Linked DNA regions of Sus scrofa. The protein of the gene in region 1 interacts with the protein of each later gene in a biochemical or structural test. Links are inferred from orthologs where the notes say so. Each region holds a gene or a part of one and is shown on either strand. Other genes may lie near its edges.

What was found. The genes of interacting proteins can lie anywhere in the genome.
Region 2: of the proteins of UBE2I (region 1) and SAE1, one has a biochemical effect on the other in vitro, tested with the Homo sapiens proteins (6 studies listed by BioGRID, with this or other methods). The link is inferred for Sus scrofa from reciprocal best matches to the Homo sapiens genes UBE2I and SAE1.

Annotation. Positions count from the first base shown.
Region 1 is NC_010445.4:40,564,227-40,574,292, forward strand, and holds the start of UBE2I (SUMO-conjugating enzyme UBC9), read right to left. Parts: upstream 4,716-10,066; 5' UTR 4,596-4,715; intron 174-4,595; exon of another isoform or gene 34-173; intron 1-33. UniProt on the Homo sapiens protein: Accepts the ubiquitin-like proteins SUMO1, SUMO2, SUMO3, SUMO4 and SUMO1P1/SUMO5 from the UBLE1A-UBLE1B E1 complex and catalyzes their covalent attachment to other proteins with the help of an E3 ligase such as RANBP2, CBX4 and ZNF451.
Region 2 is NC_010448.4:52,952,683-52,962,663, reverse strand, and holds the start of SAE1 (SUMO-activating enzyme subunit 1), read right to left. Parts: upstream 5,191-9,981; 5' UTR 5,089-5,190; coding exon 4,991-5,088; intron 1-4,990. UniProt on the Homo sapiens protein: The heterodimer acts as an E1 ligase for SUMO1, SUMO2, SUMO3, and probably SUMO4. It mediates ATP-dependent activation of SUMO proteins followed by formation of a thioester bond between a SUMO protein and a conserved active site cysteine residue on UBA2/SAE2.

The sequences.
Region 1 (10,066 bases):
CGCCCCTGGGTCCCGGCCTGTGCAGGTACCTACCGGGTCAACCTCCCACCCCCGGAGGGGCAGAGACAAGACCCCGGGCCCAGGTCACGGCTGCTAGAGGCCGCACAGGGAGGGGACACCGTGTGCTCCCAGCAGCCACCTGCACGACAGTCCTGCCTCTCCGGCTGTGCCGCCTGCCGGAATGAAAGGGACCCCACTTTCACCACCAGACCCCACACGAGGGGCAAGGACAAGACAGGAGGTGTCGAGCCCCTGAGCCCTGGGAAGCCAGGGGCGGGGCCGCATCCTTTGCTGCAGCTGGGGTGCTGTCAGGCCACCAGCACAGAATCGGGGGCTCGGAATCTAGGCTCAGGCCCCGCCGGGAGGAAGGGAAGCAGAGGAAAGCTCCCCGGACAGAGGGCAGCTTAAGGAGGGCAAGGCCAGCACCCCGCTGCGACTGTCGCCAGGCCTGAGCGTCTTCACTGGCCCCACCCCAGGATCACTGCCACTTCCGCTGCCAAGAGCAAACCAAGACTGCCTCCCATTTGCTTTAGGAAAGACGACAAAAAGGGGAGCAGGCCCACTGGAGGGGGGCTGCTGGAAAGCCTGCTCATTCCTCGTGTGGGGCTCCCCCTGCACCTCCGGACCACAGACCCTCCAGGCTTGGTGCCCGCCGCTTCCGCATCACGCAGGCCAGGCACAGGGCGCTCGACTGTAACCCCTGCTGTCCCTGAGGACGCAGCCCTTAGGGGACACAGAACTTGCTGGAGAACTTGACCCTCATTGTGTCCAGTGCTCCTCAGTGTCTTTGACAATGTTAAGGATCCTCAGGTCAAGTGCTTCCGCTACGCAAGGCTTTGACAAGTCGGCGGGGGACCTGGGGGGGGCATCCTGGAAGCACATGGGCAGCGGATGCGGCCACAACGTGGCACTCAACCAGTCAAGGCCAAACTCCTGCTACAGACGGCACCGGAAACCAGCCCTGCCAGCCCTGTCCCAGACCCAGGACCCCAGCCTCAGCACAGCACTGCCGACTACCAAGCCTGAGAAGGGAGGATCCAGAAAGTACCCCGCCGCCGAGGGGGGGCACACCTCAAACACAGGGGGTCCGCCCGCCGCCTGCTGCTCACAGCAGCCCCGGCCCCCTAATCACTTGGCGCGCCCAACCCCACACCCCTTTTGGCCCCAGCTGCTCCAGCAGCACAAATCACACCTTGACCCCACATCTGCTCCTTGGCTGCTCTGTCGCCAGGCCCCCAACACAAACACACCCCTGTCTGTGCAGGAGGGTGGGGCTGCGGCAACCATTCAACCGCAGACCAGCAGGTCGGCGAGGCCGGGATGGCAGCCTCAGTGGGTGTTTATGACACGGACGGGCCCCAGGCCCAGGGGCCCCATGGAGCCGGGAACTCTGGGTGTCCTTTGGGGATCACCGTGGCAGCCTCCAGCACGACACAGGAGCCCGGGTCTCGGAAGCAGGGTGAGTTAGTGCAGACCACCGGACCAACTGCATGTGGTGCACTGTCCACAAGCAGGTGTGCTCGTGCCACCATGAGGAACAGAGACGGTCAAAACTTGAAGCCCCTGCCACTCAGGAGGCATGGGAACAGGTGCAGCTCCACCCCAGCACTCTGAGCACACCTTCCACAGGCTCTCACCCCGCCAGGCTTCAAGATTAAGTCCCAGACAAGTAACACCAGTCCTGCACCCAAAACAGAACAGCTTTTTTTTTTTTTGGTCTTTTTAGGGCGGCACCTGCGGCCTACAGAACTTCCCAGGCTAGGGATTCAATCAGACCTACGGCTGCTGGCCTACGACACAGCCACAGCAATGCAGGATCCAAATCACATCTGTGACCTACGCTGCAGCTCACAGCAAGGCTGGATCACCGAGCGAGGCCAGGGCTCAAACCTACGTCCTTATGGACACTAGTCGGGTTTGTTACCACTGAGCCACAATGGGAACTCCCCGCCTGGGATCTGTCTGTTCACACAACACAAACTGAGGAGAGACAGAGTTGTGGCTGTGCAGAAGGCCCACGCAGGAGGAAGACGTGTGCTGGGAAGTGCTAGGTGCCAGGACACAGGAAGCAGGACGATGGCAGGGAGGCACCCGGTCCTACAGGGTCAGGTGCCCGCGTGGGCACAAGCTGCAGCAATGCAAGGGACTGTTCCAGGCGGGCTCACCAGGAACAGAAAGAAGAGCCAGGAGGGTCACTGGCTGCGAGGGCCAGGGACCGCCCAAGGGAGGCGGGGGCAGTGACCCCGAGTCTGAAAAGCTTTCCTTCCCTTGACTGCCTCCAACCCTTCACTTTTTTTGGTCTTTTTTTAGAGCTGCACCTGTGGCATATGGAGGTTCCCAAGCTAGGGGTTAAATTGGAGCTGTAGCCGCTGGCCGACACCACAGCTCAGCAACGCCAGCTCCTTAACCCACTGAGCCGGGCCGGGGACCGAACCTGCATCCTCCGGGATACTAGTCGGGTTTGTTAACCTCTGAGCCGGGACGGGAACTCCCCAACCCTTCACTTCTAAACAGAACCCTGCCCCACCCACTCCAGCAGCTAGTGGGGCTGCCCCTCCCGCAGGGCTTGAGGAATCTGGAGGGTCTCTGCAGCCCCTGGGCAGCCAGGGCAAAGGCGGCAGCAGGCGGACACGTCTGAATTAACGGAGGCAGGAGTCCAGCAAGCGGCTGCTCCCCGTGAGTCTGCACCTGGCCAGGCGCTGACCATGGGTCATGAAGGCCCAGGGCACCACTGTGGACACTGAGGAGCCATGGATACTAAATGGGCAACTGAGGCTGCTCGGGGAGGAGGGCAGGGGTCACGGCTTGTCCAGGATGCAGACCAGGCCAGGGGGGCCATCCTGAGTGCTGCCTGCCTGCTGACCGTGCGCCAGCACCCGGCCACAGGCCACCTCTTCTGCTGACAAGGGACAAAGTTGCCTCTGCAGGCTGTCCCAGAGCCCAGCTGTGGCTGCGCCAAAGGTAATGGGGGGGGTCCCACAGGAACTCCTGCCTCCCCTTCCTCAGGGGTGCCAGGGGACCAGACCAGGCAACAAAAGGGTGAAGAGCCACAGGCCCAGGCAGAGAGGCCTGGCCTTCCCTTATCCGGGAGAAAGCACCCAATTTGTTACATTTTAATGACAAGGGGAGCTACTCCTTCAGAATCCCACTTAAAATTAAATCTGCCTTCCCCAACCAAGAGTCACCCGAAGCAGCTGAATGTTAGCAGACACTCCAGAGATGGACATTGTTAGGATGCAAGGATGAAATACCCACGAACCGCTAGCCTGCAGGACAGCAGCTGGGATGTCCAGGCAGATTCTGGAAGTCTCCACGCCACCTTCCTCCAGAGTGAGCTGTGCCTGAATCCCCTCTTCTTAGATCACACGCTGCGATTTGACAGCAAAGCCTGCAGAGCCACTAACTGGCTGCACATGCGGGCGAGATGCTTCTCTCTCCCAGCCTCAGCCTTCTCAGCTGTGCGATAAGCCACAGCACTGTGAACTCACGGGTTGGCCCAGGGTGAAAGTGAGCAAGGATCAGCAGCCCAGGATGGGCCCTTCCCACCCAAACATCAGCTTCCCAGGGGGAAGGCATTTGCTTCACCTGATGCAGGCACCCTGCACTCGGGAGACTCTCCAGCCCAGGTGCACGCCCTGTTCTTGCCCGTTTCTGCAGCCAGGCCCCAAATCCCGAGCAAGACTATCGCAACAAGATGCAGAGTTCACCCCCTAAACCACCCGGCGGGCCATGAGCAAGTCAGGGAAAACTTGGGATCCACTCCCCTCTTCTGGTGGGAAGACTTCCAACCCAAAAAGTTTTCCTTAGTAGCAAGAAACGTTTGAGGTTAGGGGTCTGGAAAGGGCACCAACTCTGCAAACACAGAACAACAACTTTGCAACCCGAGGAACTAAGCTTGTTTTCAAACCACACAAACCAAACCAGTGAATTCTGTGATTGAGAGGCAGGTGCAGGCCGTTACCGCGAGCCCAGCTAATCATTCTCTGGCCTTCCTGCTCCTGGCTCAACTACCACTTCCAGCCTCCGTGCACTTGGTACAAAGCAGTCCCAGGAGGAAAATTCCCCGTCAAAGGAAGCGCGGGTGCCCAGGGTCCCACCAACTGCGGCCGAGGCTCCGGAGGCGCAAGAACTCGGACTTGTTTTGATTTACAGACACCACACACCACCCCCAAACGGGCCGGCGCTGCCGCAGCGCGAGGCTTTGCGCTCTTTGTGCGATGCGTCGTCTCCAGGGCTGGCACACGCCACAGGTTCGCGCGCAGACCGTGACCCCGGAAACGCTCCGCCTCGGCGGAGGGCTCGGCGCCCGCTCGCGCTCCTGTCAGCGCAGCCCGAGCGGCGGGCGCCGTCTGCGGCCCGGCCGCGATGCGACCCGCCCCGAGCGCGCGCCCGAGTGGACGCCCCCGCCGTCTGGGGCCGCGGAGCCCAGCGGGCCGGCCCACGCCGCGGCGTCAACACACCGGGGCAGGCCGGTTCCCGGGAGCGGGCCCGGCCGGGCCGCGGGTGGAGGGAGCCCGCCTGGCCGGGCCCGACGGCGGCGGAGGCCCCAGCCCGACAAGGCCCGGTCCCCGGCCCGCCCGTCTCGCCGCGCTCACCTCGGGCGGCCGCGGCCCGGCGAGTGAGGCGGACGAGGCGGCGGCGGCGGCGGCGGCGGCGGCGCTCCTTTGTCTCGGGACTTCCCTCCCGAGCCCGCTCCGCGCGCAGCCCGAGCGCTCGAGGACCCCGGCGCGGGCGGGGCGGGGCGGGGCCTGCGGAGTCTGCCCGCCGCGCGCCTGCCCCGCGCCCCGCCGCTGCCGCCGCACGCCCCGCGCCGTCCACGTCGCTGTGCGCCGCCCGCCGCCCGTGCCCCGCCGCCGGGCGCCCGCGCCCCGGGCCAGGCCTGGGAGCCCAGCCCCGGGGGCGGCTTTCCAGTCAGGCGGCGCCCTGGACACCTGTGCCCTTAAAGGAGCCGCGTCCCTTATGTGAGGGAGCGTCTGCAAACTCCCCTTCGCGGGGCCCGCGTCTATCCGAGGACACGCCGGCGTGCGGCGGGGCAACCAGGAGGCCGAGATCTCCAAGGGCCCCCCGGATGCCCCGCGGGCACCTCCCCGGGCACGGGTCCTGGAGGTCTCCTTGGGGCTAGGGCCCGGGGCCGGGGAGCAAAGATCATTGAGGCCTAGGGATCCCCGAAGCGTCGCAGCACGGTGACAACCCCTCGCGCGCGGCAGGCCGTGAAACTCCTTGCAATTGGCCAGTTCGGGGCTCAGGGCGGGGCGTCTGCCGAATCTGCCCAATGAGCTGACCCCGTACAAAAGGTAGCGTGGCTGCCCGACCGATGGGAGGAGAAGAGCGGACGCTCCCTAACCCAGGGCTGGCCCTGGGGGAATGAAAGGGAAAACCTGACATTACTAATGGAAAACCTCTCCAACTGCAAGTTCTGCTTCTGTAAGCCCCGCTTGCTCAGCGCCCCCCCATGATCATGTGACCACTAACAGACCCACACCTAAAGCTGGAACATTCCCTGCCGCCGGCTCCTCCAGTTCCCACTCCGGTCCACCCCTCCAAGCGTGGACCCAGAAGAACTGGCCTGTAAAAGCCTGTAGCACCCCTGTTCGGGGCCTGGGTTCTGGAGAGCAATCTTCCCCAGGCCGGCCGGGTATGAGAGCTAAATTCTCCTCCTCTCCCAGTGTCGCTTGGTTTCTCGCTGGTCGGTGCTGCACGTGGAGCTGTAACATTTCTGGAGGCCCCAGCGAGACCCCAACCGTTCTGGCCCTTTGAGCCACCGGGGCTGCGGTGAAGCTGCAGGAAGGCTGGGGAGCTCCGGAGGCGAACGAGGCGGTGCTCCACCCGACGGTATTTCGGGTCCTCCTTCGTGGCGGTGCTCCAGTCCTCCCAATGGCCGAACCCCAACCGGACTCGGTGGAGAGACGGACCAACTCCCAAGCAAGACTAGTTAAAGCTCCGGAATAAGGTAAGGCCCCGAGGCCAGTCCCCGTCAGGTCCTGCCTACTGGCAGAAGAGGAGACCTACGTCTTCCAGTCTGACGACCCCAGGAAGGGACCTCCCAAGGGGGAGGTCTGTGACGGCTGAGTGAATGCATGAGTGACTGTGGCCTGATACGATTGCATCTCAGGTTCAGTTGTGTGGCTCCACTGTTTCCACTACGGGGTCCCAGTGGGTCCTAACCTGCGGTTCCATGGTAACCTCATACGGTTTACAGCTGCGTGGGACTCTGAGGATTCTCTAACCTCCCTGCGAGTTGGATCCAGGTTCGGGGTTTATACGAACCAGCCAATTGCTAAGAGGCACCTAAACTCCCTAGAGAGAGGTGGCCAGGCAGACATCTGAATGTGTGCTCCATGAAGGGGCATCCCCTCCTTGTCTTGCTTGCCACAGCCTTGCAGGGGGAAACCCAGGTGGGATATTAGCCCTTCGAGACCACCCTCACATGAGTCGAAGACCCCTTTGCCCTCGGCGATTACAAAGGAGAGGTTCTTCAAAGAAATCTTGAATTTGACCTTATCCCCAGAAATCCAGGAATCTTGGCCCGAATCCTGGGTGGACCTCGGGATTGTTCATTCTGCCTGCTCTCAGAACCCCAGGAGCTGAGTAAAGGGGATTTTTGGTTGCAGCCACACTAGGAGATCCCCCTTCTAGTCCACCTGCTTTGTCGTCCACCCACCATCCTGAGATCGTGTTACGTTAGCTCCAGATTCAGGGAAGACTGCATCCAAAGACCCTTGAGTTTCATTGAAGCCTTAGAATATTCCCAAGAACTCGCCCCAAGGGCCAAGACCCGGAGTGGTTAGCATCCTTAGTGGCAAAGCAAGTGCTTGCCCCCCGGCACCCCTCCCCCGCCATAGAGTGGGCGGAGCGGGGGTCGCTCTGCTTTGGGGAGTGGAGGAGGCAACAGTAAAAGGGACATCCGCCACGGAAACTGAAGCAGGCTCCTAGCTGTGGGCAGTAGATCAGGACCTAACACCACGGGGGCACCTAAATCTAAGCCCACGGCTTAAACTGCATGATCAAGAATTTCAAGAAGGGCTTTTGGGGGGACTATGGCGTCGGAATGAACCCTGGACAACGCCACACCCCGTGTGAGCCAAAGTGGCCCTCCTTTGGAGTGGGATGGCCTTCAGAGGGCACGCCAGACATGCCCACAGGAAGGGCGGCCTCTCGGGTGGTCACCGACACCCCAGGACACCCCGATCAGTTCCCATACATAGGACTTTGCCTCCCTGGGTCCGGTTCTGCACCAATGGCCAGGGACAATGTAGGATCCTTGTGGCCCAAGCGCCCTCGGAAAAAAAAGAAGGACCGGCTAAACCTTTCCTACAAGGAGACCCAGGAGACGACACCCCTCCAGCCCCGCCGCCTCCGCCCTGTCTTCCCACGGCTCCACCCTTTCTTGTGCAACCACCACCCCAACAGTTGCCAAACAGTCCACCTCCCTCTGTGTCTCCACCAGTCCCACAACCGCCATGGGCCCCAAGTCCAGCGCCAAAGGGAAGACGACTCCGCTGGGCTCAGCAGTCCGCACAAATGACTGCAGCCTTCCAAGCTCCCCTGTGGGAGATGTGGGGCCCCCAACAAGCAAATGGTGATGGCGCTGGGCCCTCCCGTTCTCTATTACCAGCCCTTCAGCACAACCGACCCCCTGAACTGGAGGCGCCTCACCCAGCTCACTCCGAAAATCCATCTTCCAAGCCCACCAGCCAACCTGGGGCGACACCCGTCAACTCCTCCCTACCTGCGCCAGCACCAAGGAGGGGTCTGCAAGTGGCTCCACGGACAGCCTCCTGCAGGCACCCTTGACCTTGAGGGGTGGGCACAGAGGGCAGCTCCAGAAAACAGACCTGACTGGGGCTTCAACACTCAGGCCGGGTGGGCGCCCTGGGGTGCCGTCGGAATGCTCTCCTTCACGGCTGCGGGCCGGAGCCAAAAGCCACCCATGTGACAAAGACGACGACCGTGCTGATCCAGAAATCCGACGAGACACCGACGGACTTCTACGAGAGGTTGTGTGAGGCCTTGCAGACCTTCCCTCCCTTGGATCCTGAGGCACCTGGGCATCAGCGAATGGTTAATGCAGCCTTTGTGGCCCCGTCTTCCAGCCACATGCTTGTAAGACACAAGTTGGACGGCTTAGCTGGGATGAACGCGTCACAGTTGCTAGAAACAGCAGGGAAGGTTTTTGTGAGCCAAGATGGCAAGCCCTGCGGGAAGCCGGAAGGCAGATGAAACGAAAGGTGTCCCTGAGGGCGGCCGCACCAGGCAACCCCGAGCCCAGCAGGTGGCCTCGGCCACCAGGCAGAAGGGAGCAGGAAGGAGCCGCCCTTGAGACGAGGGCAACGTGCATGTTGTAAAGGAGATGGGACACTGGAAAAGCAAACGCCCGCAGCAAAAGGGGGGCCCCCTGAGAAAAGGAGCCTCGTCCAGTGGAGGAAGGTGCTGAGCAGAACCGATTGGGCACGGCCTCAGCGGCCTGGGCTGGAACCAAGTCCGCGCACAATCCGTCTTTGCCTTCAGTTTATCTCCAGTGTCTTGCATCATCTTCAGCATCAACAGTCTCAAGTCTTTTTCCTGGAGGCTGAGAATCTCCTGATCACTTAACTGATTTTCTGGGGGTTTTTCCTTTCTCCCTCGTCTGAGTTATAGTTCTCTGTCTTCTCATTTCTATAGGTTTTTGGTGTGACCTTTTTACAGATAATAGAGTTGTTGCCTCTCTTGCTTCTGGCATCTGTCCCCCTTGTGGGGGCCTGCTGCAGGCTTCCTGATGGAAGGGACCTGGAACAGTCAGATCAGGGGACCCTGGACTCCTTGCTCCTGGGTCCCTGGGAGCCCGCGGTTGAAGTGATGACGGGGGACCAACCGGTGACATTCATGGTGGACACTGGTGCTGGACACTCAGTAGTGACCAAACCGTGGCTCCTCTTACTCAGTGACAAACGACCATTGTTGGGGCCACTGGAATGCAGGCCGCTTGCCCGTTTTGTGGGCCCAGACCTGCCAGCTGGGGGGCCACCCAGTGACTCCCGAGTTCCTGTGCATACCGAGTGCCCCATCCCCTCCTGGGAAGAGATTGCCTGACCAAACTGGGGGCCCAGATAACACTTGCCCCTGGGAAGCCGGTGAGTCTCATGCTGGGCAAAGAGGGGGCCCTGCCGATGGCAGTAACTCTACCACGCGGGGACAGATGGCGACTCTATTGCTCAAAGGAAAGCGGGATAAGTCCCACGGCCCTCCTGGGAGAATTCCCCCTGCTCTGGGCCGAGAAAGGGCCCCCTGCGATGGCCAAGAATCATGCGCTCGTTGTGGTGGACTTAAAGCCTGGCACCACCCCCAGCAAACAGCAACAGTACCCTCTAACACGAGAGGCACATCCGGGATCCAAGAACACATTCGGTGATTGCGAGACGCCGGAATCCTGGTAGAGTGCCAGTCTCCATGGAATCCCTCCTCCTACCTGTCAAGATGGCCAAAGGGTATGATTACCGACCAGTGCGGGACTTGGGCCCGGTTAGCCTGCAGCCATCACCACCCACCCGTGGTGCCAAACCCCTGTCCTCTCTTGGGGCTGCTGCCCGCTCAAGCAAGCTGGTTCACCTGCCTAGACCGCAAGGATGCCTTCTTCTGCCTTGGACTAGCACCTGTCAGGCAGCCACTGTCTGCCTTCGAAAGGGAGGCTCCCCAGACAGGTAGAAAGGTCCAACTAACCGGACACGGCTACCACAGGGCTTCAAAAATTCACCCACTCTGTCTGGGGAAGCACCAGCCCGAGATCTAGCTGCCTTTCCCAGCGGGGCCATGAACTGTACCCTCGTCTAGTGTGTCATGGATCTGCTACTGGCAAGCATTCCCCAGAAGGATTGCTGGGAGGAAACACGAACCCTGCTAGCTCTGCCGTCTACCACAGGCGAGGAGGCGTCCTGGAAAAAGGCACAGACCTGCAGACAGACAGTTAAGTACCTCGGGTTCATCACCTCAAAAGGACATCGAGCCCTCGGGCGAGAGGGCAAACAAACCACCGGCTCCGTGCCTCCACCGTCTACCGAGGGAGAGGTCAGAGAACTCCTCGGGGCCGCGA
Region 2 (9,981 bases), on another chromosome or scaffold:
CTTGAAAACAGGGAAATTTTTAGAGTCCCTTTTCTATAAAGTCAAAATTTCACAGGGGAAAGAGTCCTTGGAGTTCCCATCATGGCTCAGCAGTTAATGAATCTGACTAGTATCCATGAGTACGCAGGTTTGATCCTTGGCCTTGCTCAGTGGGTTACGGATCTGGCATTGCCGTGAGCTGTGGTGTAAGTCACAGAAACGGCTCACATTCTACGTTGCTGTGGCTGTGGTGTAAGCCAGCAGCTACAGCTCCAATTCAACCCCTAGCCTAGAAATCTCCATATGCTGTGGGTACAGCCCAAAAAAGCAAAAAAAAGAAAAGAAAGAGTCCTTAAAGATTTAGTCACACTCACTGCCCCCTTCTGCAGAAGTGGAACCTAAGGCCAAGAAACTGTGTGACTCACCCGAGGTCACAGACAGCAGGGCTGGGAACTGAACCCATGTTTCTAGGCTTCCGAGGTCTCTGCAGTGTATAGTCATTCCATTCACTCAACAAATATCTGAACGTCTACACACTTGCAAGCACTGGAAATTTAACAGAGACCAAGAGAAACCCAAATCTTACTTACTGGACATTTATAAAGCACTTGCCCTCATGGAGCTTATCATCTACCTCTCTCTTCCCAGTCACCCTCTCTTCCTCTCAGGGGATAAACTGCTGTCAAGTGAAAGAAGAAAAACTAGCCTTTGCTGTGAAAGGCAGTGCAAAAATGGCTGAAGGACACAGTCTGAGAACATACACCGCTGCAAGCTTCAACCCTCTCCTTTAAGTTAATCTAAAAGAATGAGCCCCCGTTGTGCAGCAAACGAGGTGTCACAGAAGTAAACCTGAGTTAGTGGCTCAGATTCAAGTCCAACTTCTATTGGTATGTGACCCTGGGATAGTTGGCTTCTCTTCCCTGAACCTCATCCATAAAGTGGGCTAGGTAGCACTGCCAGAGATGCAAACTCACATGCTTACAGGGGCCAGGCAATTTTACCAATGGGTGAGACAGAACTGATGGAGACAATGGCCAAGTAGAGGGACCATGTGCTGGGTATAAGAGGCAGCCTTGGGAATTCCCTGGTGGCCTAGTGGTTAAGGACTCAGCATTGTCATTGCTGTGGCACAGGTTCAATCCCTGGCCTGGGAACTTTCACATGCCCGGGCACAGCCAAAAAAAAAAAAAGAGGAGGCCTCTACTTAGTTCCAACCAATGTAATGTAATGTGGGGATGTCTGACCTTACCATTTTTCAAAAGACAGAAATCAGAAACTATGAACTCGCCATACGTGAGGGGGGCAGGTGGTGGCTAGGACGGAGACTGAAACATTTCCCAATTTCTCATTATAAGAAATTTCAAACACACACGGGTTCCTCCTGTGTGGCCTGACAGGGCTGGCACGTTCGATCCTGGCCCAGCACAGTGGGTTAAGGACCTGGCATTGCCACAGCTACAGAGTAGGCTGCAACTGCAGCTCCAATCTGATCCTTAGGAAATCCATATGCCACAGGATGGCCAAAAAAGAAAAAGAAATTTCAAACATACAGAAAAGTAGGAAGAATAGTTAACATCTTGCCCTGCTGGCTTTACCCACAAACCTACATCATGGAACTTCATACCTTTAGCACATAGCTCCAAAAATGACATTCTCCTTCATAACCACACTATTACCATGTCTACAAAATAATTCCCAAATGTCACCTAATAGGGCTGAATATTCAGACTTCCCCTATTGTCTAAAACATGTTTTTTAGAAAAACACTATCTTTGAACCAGGATCCAGTCAAGGGTCACACCTTGCATTTGGCTCCACTCTTCTTTACTCTCAATCTATAACAGTCCCTTCTTTGTTTTGTTTTGTTTTTTCCCCCATAACAATGACTTCTGGAAGAGAATCAGGGCAACTGTCTTGTAAAATGTCTCACATTTGGGACATCTTATCATTACCTCAATGGTGTCCTTTAATTTGCTCCCTTGTTCTCAAAAAGCATGATTAGTGTAACATACATTTGGCAGGAAAACATCGGAGATGATGCACTGAGATTCTTGTGTCATCACATCAGAAGACACATCATATATTTCTAAGTTATTAAATATTTCTACATGAAGTCAACTTTATTCTTTCTGATGTTCAAATTGTCCCAAATTCAGCCAATTCTCTAGATATTTAAATGCTGGCAACTAACTTTAAAAAAAAATTAAAACACTGTATAAGAGATAGTTTTTAACCTCCAGACTGTATACGTTCTCTTGAAGGCCCTTTGTGTTTCTCTCACTTACAATTCTGACAACCTTGGTCCACTAGTACAGAGTCAGAGGCAAAACTGTGGCCCGAATGCAGTCTGTCAATTCCCAGGCTACTTTCCACTTTGCAAAGGAACCCCAGTGCCCAAAGGTCTCTCATTCCATCCTGGACGCCCTTAGAGGCAAGCCAATTTCCTCCTTCCTTTCTGTATAGAGGAGGAAATCACTGCCCTTCCTTCCCCGAAGAGCTACTAAGAGACTCAGCTGAAAAATGAACATGAGAGCACTTTCATCAACTCTGTAAGACTGTGTACAAATCTAAAGACTCCAATTTATAAGTAACCCCTTCCTTTCCTCCCAGGACCCTCAGTCAATCCTTTTCAGGTTCTCCACTGAGTTCAGTATGTCTTCACTTCCTCAGAATTAACTCCCACCTCTCATTTCCATGCCCCAATTTTGATTTGCCCCTTAGGTCATCTCCCCCCTCAAAGCCCCACCCCCATGCCTTTTTATTGCTCTTCAGATAAATCATCCATTTCTACCCCTCTGACAGGTCCCTCATTAATTCCAGTTTAATCCTCACTCAAAACAAAACTACCTGCTGCCCCAAGCTCTTGGATCAACTCTTCTGGTACACTCAGGGCCTCCCAACACCCCAATCCTTCAAACAGCAATCCCTAAACTCCATCAATCCCACCTGGGTCTTCAGGCCCATTCTCATCATTTAATTTCCCATCTTCTATTTCAGGTGCCTTTAATCCTCAGACCAAGGCTCGCTAATGCCTCATGATGTGCCCAATCACAAGAAGACCCTGCACAACGGAAATGAACCTGAAGTAACCCAACCTCACCCCACCCACCACGCACACTCTCTCTCACCAAAAAATTCTACCCCTCAAACTAAGTTCTCCTGACTTGCCTGCTTCCCCAACCCTTAGATCAATTAATTCTACACTCTGTCCTCAATCACATAATGACTCCCCATCACCCAGCCCGCAGCTATGAACTCAACCATTCGCATATTTCTACTGAGATGTATAGTAAACATCTAAAACATAATCCAGGACTTCTCCTGTGACTCAGCTGGTTAAGTATCTGGCACTGGCACTGGAGCAGCTCAGGACACTGCTGCAGCGAGGATTCAATCCCTGGCCCAGAAACCTCTGCATGCCACAAGCACAGCCAAAACAAACAAACAGCAACAAAAAACCTAAGTCCCAAAGAGAACCCCCGATTCTTCCCCCACCCCACCAAACCTGCAGTTTCCCCCACCTCCGTCAGGAAGGGCACTTCCATCTTCCCACTTGCTCAGGCCAAAAACCTTGGAACCTTCCTTGAGTTCAGACTCTCATACCCCACACAATGAACCCTTGAGCAAAGTCTGTCCCCTCTACCTTCAAATTATCCAGAATCTATTTTTGACCCTTTCCTAGAGTTCCGAGCCACCATTACTTCTGTCTCAAGGGGATTACTGCAGCAGCAGCCTCCTAACTGGAATCCTTACTCCCACCTCTGCCCACATCAACCTATTCTCCAATGCAACAAGAGTGATGCTTTTCAAACACAAATCAGATCACGTTACGCCTACGCTCAAACTCTCCAACGGGTTTCCCAGCACATTTATAATAAAAAAAGCTACTCAACTCCTTTGGTTCCAGTCACCCTGAGGCTCCAATGTGCCAAGCATGCTCTGGCCTCCAGGATGTTACACTTGCTGTTCTCTATACCAGGAAGGTCCTTCCAGATGGCTCTTTCCTTTCATACAGGTCGGAGGCTCAGTGTTACCTCTTCAGAGCCTCCCCTGGCCCCTCTCAAAATAGCTCTCCCACCTCACCATCCTTTATTGCTCCTCTTCTCCTTGTCTCTCTAGCACTTACATTCCTTAATATTTTATTATTTCTTTATGTTTACCGCCTCCTCGGGTAGAATATAAGCTCCAGGTGAGCAAGGAGTCTGCCTAGTTCACTGACCCACGCTCCGTGCCCATTAACAGTGCCCGTGGCAAGTGCTCAATCAATAGCTGATTAAATCAATCACCTCTTTCAAAGACCTCACGCCCTCGGACAATTTCTCCTCCATGCCCAAGGATGCCCAATCCCGTCCTCTGTGGACACGCCCCCACATCTAGACACAAGCAACCTCTTCAGGTCCTCCTGCCCCCCTAGACGCTTCAAACCTGTCAGGACTCCCACTTGAAATAACCTGCTCCAAGACACCTCAAAACCCCTCATTCTTTCAGACTAGCCCACCCTTTAGAGGCCACAAGAATGAATGGAAGCTCGCATCTGCTCGGTTCGCCAGTCTCACCAGCGGCCAGCACAGAAGACGTTCCCATTACCTATGAATGAATGAACTATGACCTCCCCCCCGCTTTCATCCTTTCCATGCGTTCCTGGCCCCCTTCTATACCCTAAGCCTTCCTCCTCACCTCGATCTAAATTCCAACATCACTCCCTCCGAGCGCCGAGCCCCGGAGTCTTGAATCCTCGCGAACGCTCCGGGCTCTCCCTCCGCCCCCTCTAGACGCCTCCAATCCCCCAGAACGGCCTTCCCACCACCCTGGGACGTCCTCGCTTCCCATACCTGCCGAGGAAACATCCCAAATCAAACCCTCCAGTCCTCTCAAGCGGGCGACCATGCCCGGGTACATGATTCCCACCTCCTCTCTTCAAATTCGACCCTCTGGCTCCCCGAGGGCCGCCAACGCCTCAGGCCAGACGCCCCTCCAAACCCTCAGCCCCACAAGCCGCACTGGCCCTGACCGTTTTTGGGCCTCCAGTCCCCAGAGACGGATCTGCCGGTCATACTGCGCCGCCTCCTCCTCGCTGATACCGCCGCCCGCCTCCTCCTTCTCCACCATGGCGCCAGCTCTCGCTGCCTGCGCTCGGGTCCGTTCGCAGCAACCGCCCGCCGGCCCCACACGCCGCCAACCGCCGCCGGCCGCGCTCCCGGGCCGGGTCTGCGCCTGCGCCGGGAACAGCGCCTGCGCAGTACCGCCCCCACCGCCGCCACCCGGCCCTGGAGCCTGGAACCAAGTCGAACTCCTAAGCCTCCAAAGCGGGCGGGCTGGCAGGCGAGAGCCAGTCACGTGACAGAGGCTGCTGCCAATCCCGGCCAAAAAACTGCAGGGCTTCTGAACCCGCGAGGATACCCAAGTGATCGTTTGTTTGTGAGTCTATTAATTCAGCAATAACGAGGGAGCATGTGCTGAAATCGCAGCAATGGAGGTGTTGTGAAAGAGTGTCGAGTAATACATAGTCTTGTCCAGAGGGAGCTTACATTCTATTGAGGAGGGCCCAGGGGAAAAAAATAGAGGAAAATTAAAACAGGATATGGGAGTTCCCGTCGTGGCGCAGTGGTTAACGAATCCGACTAGGAACCATGAGGTTGCGGGTTTGGTCCCTGCCCTTGCTCAGTGGGTTAACGATCCGGCGTTGCCGTGAGCTGTGGTGTAGGTTGCAGACGCGGCTCGGATCCCGCGTTGCTGTGGCTCTGGTGTAGGCCGGTGACTACAGCTCCGATTTGACCCCTAGCCTGGGAACCTCCATATGCCGCGGGAGCGGCCCAAGAAAATAGCAACAACAACAACAAAAAAAAAAAAAAAAAAAAAAAAAAAGACAAAAAAACAGGATATGGCACTCCAGGGTGACAGCAGTGGCCAGAGAAGTCCTCTCGGAGAAGATGCCATTGAGCAGAGATCTGAAGGGAACTGTAGAAACAAGCTACATAGATAACTGGGTAGACGGAGCATTTCTGGACAGGAGAACAAACAGCTGGTGCAAAGGCCCTGAAGCTTACTGACACAACTGAGGAGCCCGCGAAGAGGGCAGGGCAACTGGAACAGAGTGAGAGGGTGGGAAATGGTAGGAGTTAAAATCATAATATGAAGCAGGTGGGGAATAGTAAGCCCTTGTAGGTTAGTGATAGCTAATGTGTATTTTCTGTAGGCAAAGTGCATTTTTACTATCCATTCAACAAATAATTACTAAATGCATGTTGATTCAGTAATTATGTGCTAGGACTAGGGCAGTGAAAAAGAAAAAAAAAAATGAGTTCCTGCTGTGGCACAGTGGGTAAAGGATCATTGTTACCACAGCCATGGTATAGGACACAGCTGCGGCATAGGTCACACCTGAGGCTTGGATTCGATCTCTGGCCCAGGAACTTCCCTATGCCAAGGGTGCAGCCAAAAAAAGGAAAAAAACGGCTGCCCCCTCATGTAGGGTAAATGGGCTTTGTGTGGATGGATTATTTCTCTAACCCTTATGAGAGTAGATAATTTATTTAATAGTCCCATACCATAGCTAAGAAGTCTGAGGTACAACAGATTATCAGTAGCCTGAACGAAGTCTTATATCATAGAAGTAGTGAATCTAGGATTCAAATCCAGGCTGTGTGGCACACATACAAGAGGTTACACCGCTGGTGGTACATTAAGCTCCTACTATGTGCTCTGATCTTATCCAGTGGGTACATACTCCGTGAACCTCAAAGATAGACTTTTCCTCCACTTTACAATATGACTCTGGGACCCAGAAAAGGGTAGTAATTCATCCCAGGTCAAAATACCATTGAAAAGAGTTCTCGGAGTTCCTGTCATGGCGTAGCAGAAACGAATCCGACTAGGAACCATGACATTGCGGGTTCATTCCCTGCCTGGCCCAGTGGGTTAAGGATCTGGTATTGCGGTGAGCTATGGTGTAGGTCCCAGATGCAGCTTGGATCTCATGTTGCTGTGGCTCAGGCATAGGCCAGCAGCTGTAGCTCCGATTAGACTCCCAGCCTGGGAACCTCCATATGCTGCTGGTGCAGCCCTAAAACGACAAAAGACACCAAAAAAAGAGTTCCCATTGTGGCTCAGCGGAATTGAATCTGACTAGCATCCTTGAGGATGCAGGTCCGATCCCTGGCCTCACTCAGTGGGTTGAGGATCTGTCGTTGCTGTGAACTGTGGTGTAGGTCGCAGATGTGGCTTGGATCTTCTGTGGCTGTGGTGTAGGCCAGTGGCTACAGCTCCAGTGCAACCCCTAGGCTGGGAACCTCCATATGCTGTGGGTAAAACCCCTAAAAAAAAAAAAAAGACAAAAGATGTATATCATTAAAAAAAATGTGACCGGAGTTCCCATAGTGGCTCAGTGGAAAGGAATCTGACTAGGATCCACGAAGATGTTTGTTTAATCCCTGGCCTCACTCAGTGGGTTAAGGATCTGGCGTTGCTGTGAGCTGTGGTGTAGGTCGCAGATGTGGCTCAGATCTAGTGTTCCTTTGGCTGTGGTGTAGGCTGGCAGCTGCAGCTCCGATTTGACCCCTAGATTGGGAACCTCCATATGATGCACATGTGGCCCTAAATAGACAAAAAACAGAAAACAAGAACAAACATGGCCAATACCTACTCTGTTGGTAAGCGATGTGAAATAAATTACGTAGAAATTTGGGGGCTTAATGACTATTATCTCTTATTCTGTGAATCGGTAATGCAGGAGCAGTTTGGGTGGGCAGTTCTTGCTCAAAGTGTCTCATGAGGATGCAGTCAGATGCCAGCTGGGGACTTCATCTGGGCCAGGGATCAAACATTCACCACAGCTGCAGGGGGAGCCACAGCAGTAACAACGCTAGATCCTTAACTTGCTGTGCCACCAGTGGAACTCCCAGGGCTGCAGCCTTCTGAGGACAAGGTGGGGAAGATGCCCTTCCAAAGTGACTCACAGAGTTCCCACTGTGGTGCAGTGGGTTAAGAACCTGACTGCATTGGCTTGGGTCTCTGTGGAGGAGCAAGTTTGATCCCTGGCCCAATGCAGTGGGTTAAATCATCTGACTCGAATTCAAGCCCTGACCCAGGAACTTCCATATGCTTCAGGTGTGACTATTAAAAAAAAAAAAAAAAAAAAAAAAAAAAGAGTTCCCCTCATGGCTCAGTGGTTAACGAACCCAACTAAGAACCATGAGGTTGCGGGTTCAATCCCTAGCCTTGCTCGGTGGGTTAAGGATCTGGTGTTGCTGTGGCTGTGGTGTAGGTTGCAGCTCTGATTCAACCCCTATCCTTGGAACCTCCATATACCATGGGAGTGGCCCTAGAAATGACAAAAAAAGAAGTGGGGAGTTCCCATCATGGCTCAGCAGAAATGAATCCAACTAGCATGCATGAGGACAAAGGTTCGATTCCTGGCCTTGCTCAGTGGGTCAGGGGTCCTGTGTTGCCATGAGCTGTGGTATAGTTTGCAGATGCAGCTTGGGTCCAGTGCGGCTATGGCTGTGGCAAGGGCCAGCAGCTGTAGCTCCAATTCTGCCCCTAGCCTGGGAACCTCCATATGGTATGAGTGCAGCCCTAAAAACCAAAACCAAAAAAAAACATGGTTGGCAAATTCATGTTGGTTGCTGGCTGGGGACCTCCATTCTTCTCCACGTGGGTCTGTCCACCTGCTGGAGTGTCCTCATGACATGGCACTGGCGTCCCCCAGCACAAGTGATCCTTCAGGGCAGGCTGAAAGCAGGAATGCTTTTTATGCCTCAGCCTCGAAAGTCACACATGGTCACCAATATCCTATTGGCCACTTACTGGTCAGCTCTGTTCATTGTGGGAGGGGATGATGAAAGCGTGTGACTATTGGGGGCAAGGATCATTTGTGGACCATCTTGAAGGTTGGTTACCACATCAACTATGTGTCACATCCTGTGATGATAAGGTGAACAAGGGAAATATGCCCTGAGTGGTGCTGATACAAGAAGGGGAGACAGTGCTTCATCAATCAAAGGATTGTTCACTATGGAGTGCCTGCCATGGCTCTGTGGTGATGAACCCAACCAGTATCCATGAGGATGATGGTTCAATCCCTGGCCTTGCTCAGTGGGTTAAGGATCCGGCATTGCCATAAGCTGTGGTGTAGATTGAAAATGCGGCTTGAATCTGTCATTGCTGTGGCTGATAGGTATAGCTCCAATTCGACCCCTAGCCTAGGAACTTCCATATGCAGAGGGTGCGGCCCTCAAAAGCAAAAAAAAAAAAAAAAAAAAAAGAAAGAAAGAAAGAAAAATTTTAAAAAGAGAATTATTCAGTAGTTCAACTACTCAACAAATAATTTACCAAATCTCGACTATGTATTGAACTTTGTGCCAGGTCCTGGGGTTATAATCCTGATAAAAATGGACACATTTGGAGTTCCCATGTGGCTCAGCAGGTTAAGAACCTGACTAGTATCCATGAGGATATGGGTGAATTCCCTGGCTTCATTCAGTGGATTAAAGGATCCAGTGTTGCTGCAAGCTGCAGCATAGATTGCAGATGTAGCTTGTAACTGGCGTTGCCGTGGCCATGGGCCTGCAGCTCAGATTCCACCCTTAGCCTGGGAACTTCCATATGCCACAGGTTCGGCCCTAAAAAGAGAAAAAAAGAAGGGTTCCCATCGTGGTGCCATGGTTAACGAATCCGACTAGAAACCATGAGGTTGCGGGTTCGATCCCTGGCCTCGCTCAGAGGGTCAAGGATCCGGTGTTGCCGTGAGCTGTGGTGTATGTTACAGACGTGGCTCGGATCTGGCGTTGCTGTGGCTGTGGTGTAGGCTGGCAGCTGCAGCTCCGATTCGACCCCTAGCCTGGGAACCTCCACATGCTGCGGGAGTGGCCCAAGAAAAGGCAAAAGAGACAAAAAAAAAAAAAAGACAAGAAAAAAAGAAAATGGGCACACTCCTGGAATGCTCCTAGTGACTCTGAGGGTTAAGGATCCGATGTCATCATGGCTGGGGCTCTGGTCATGGCT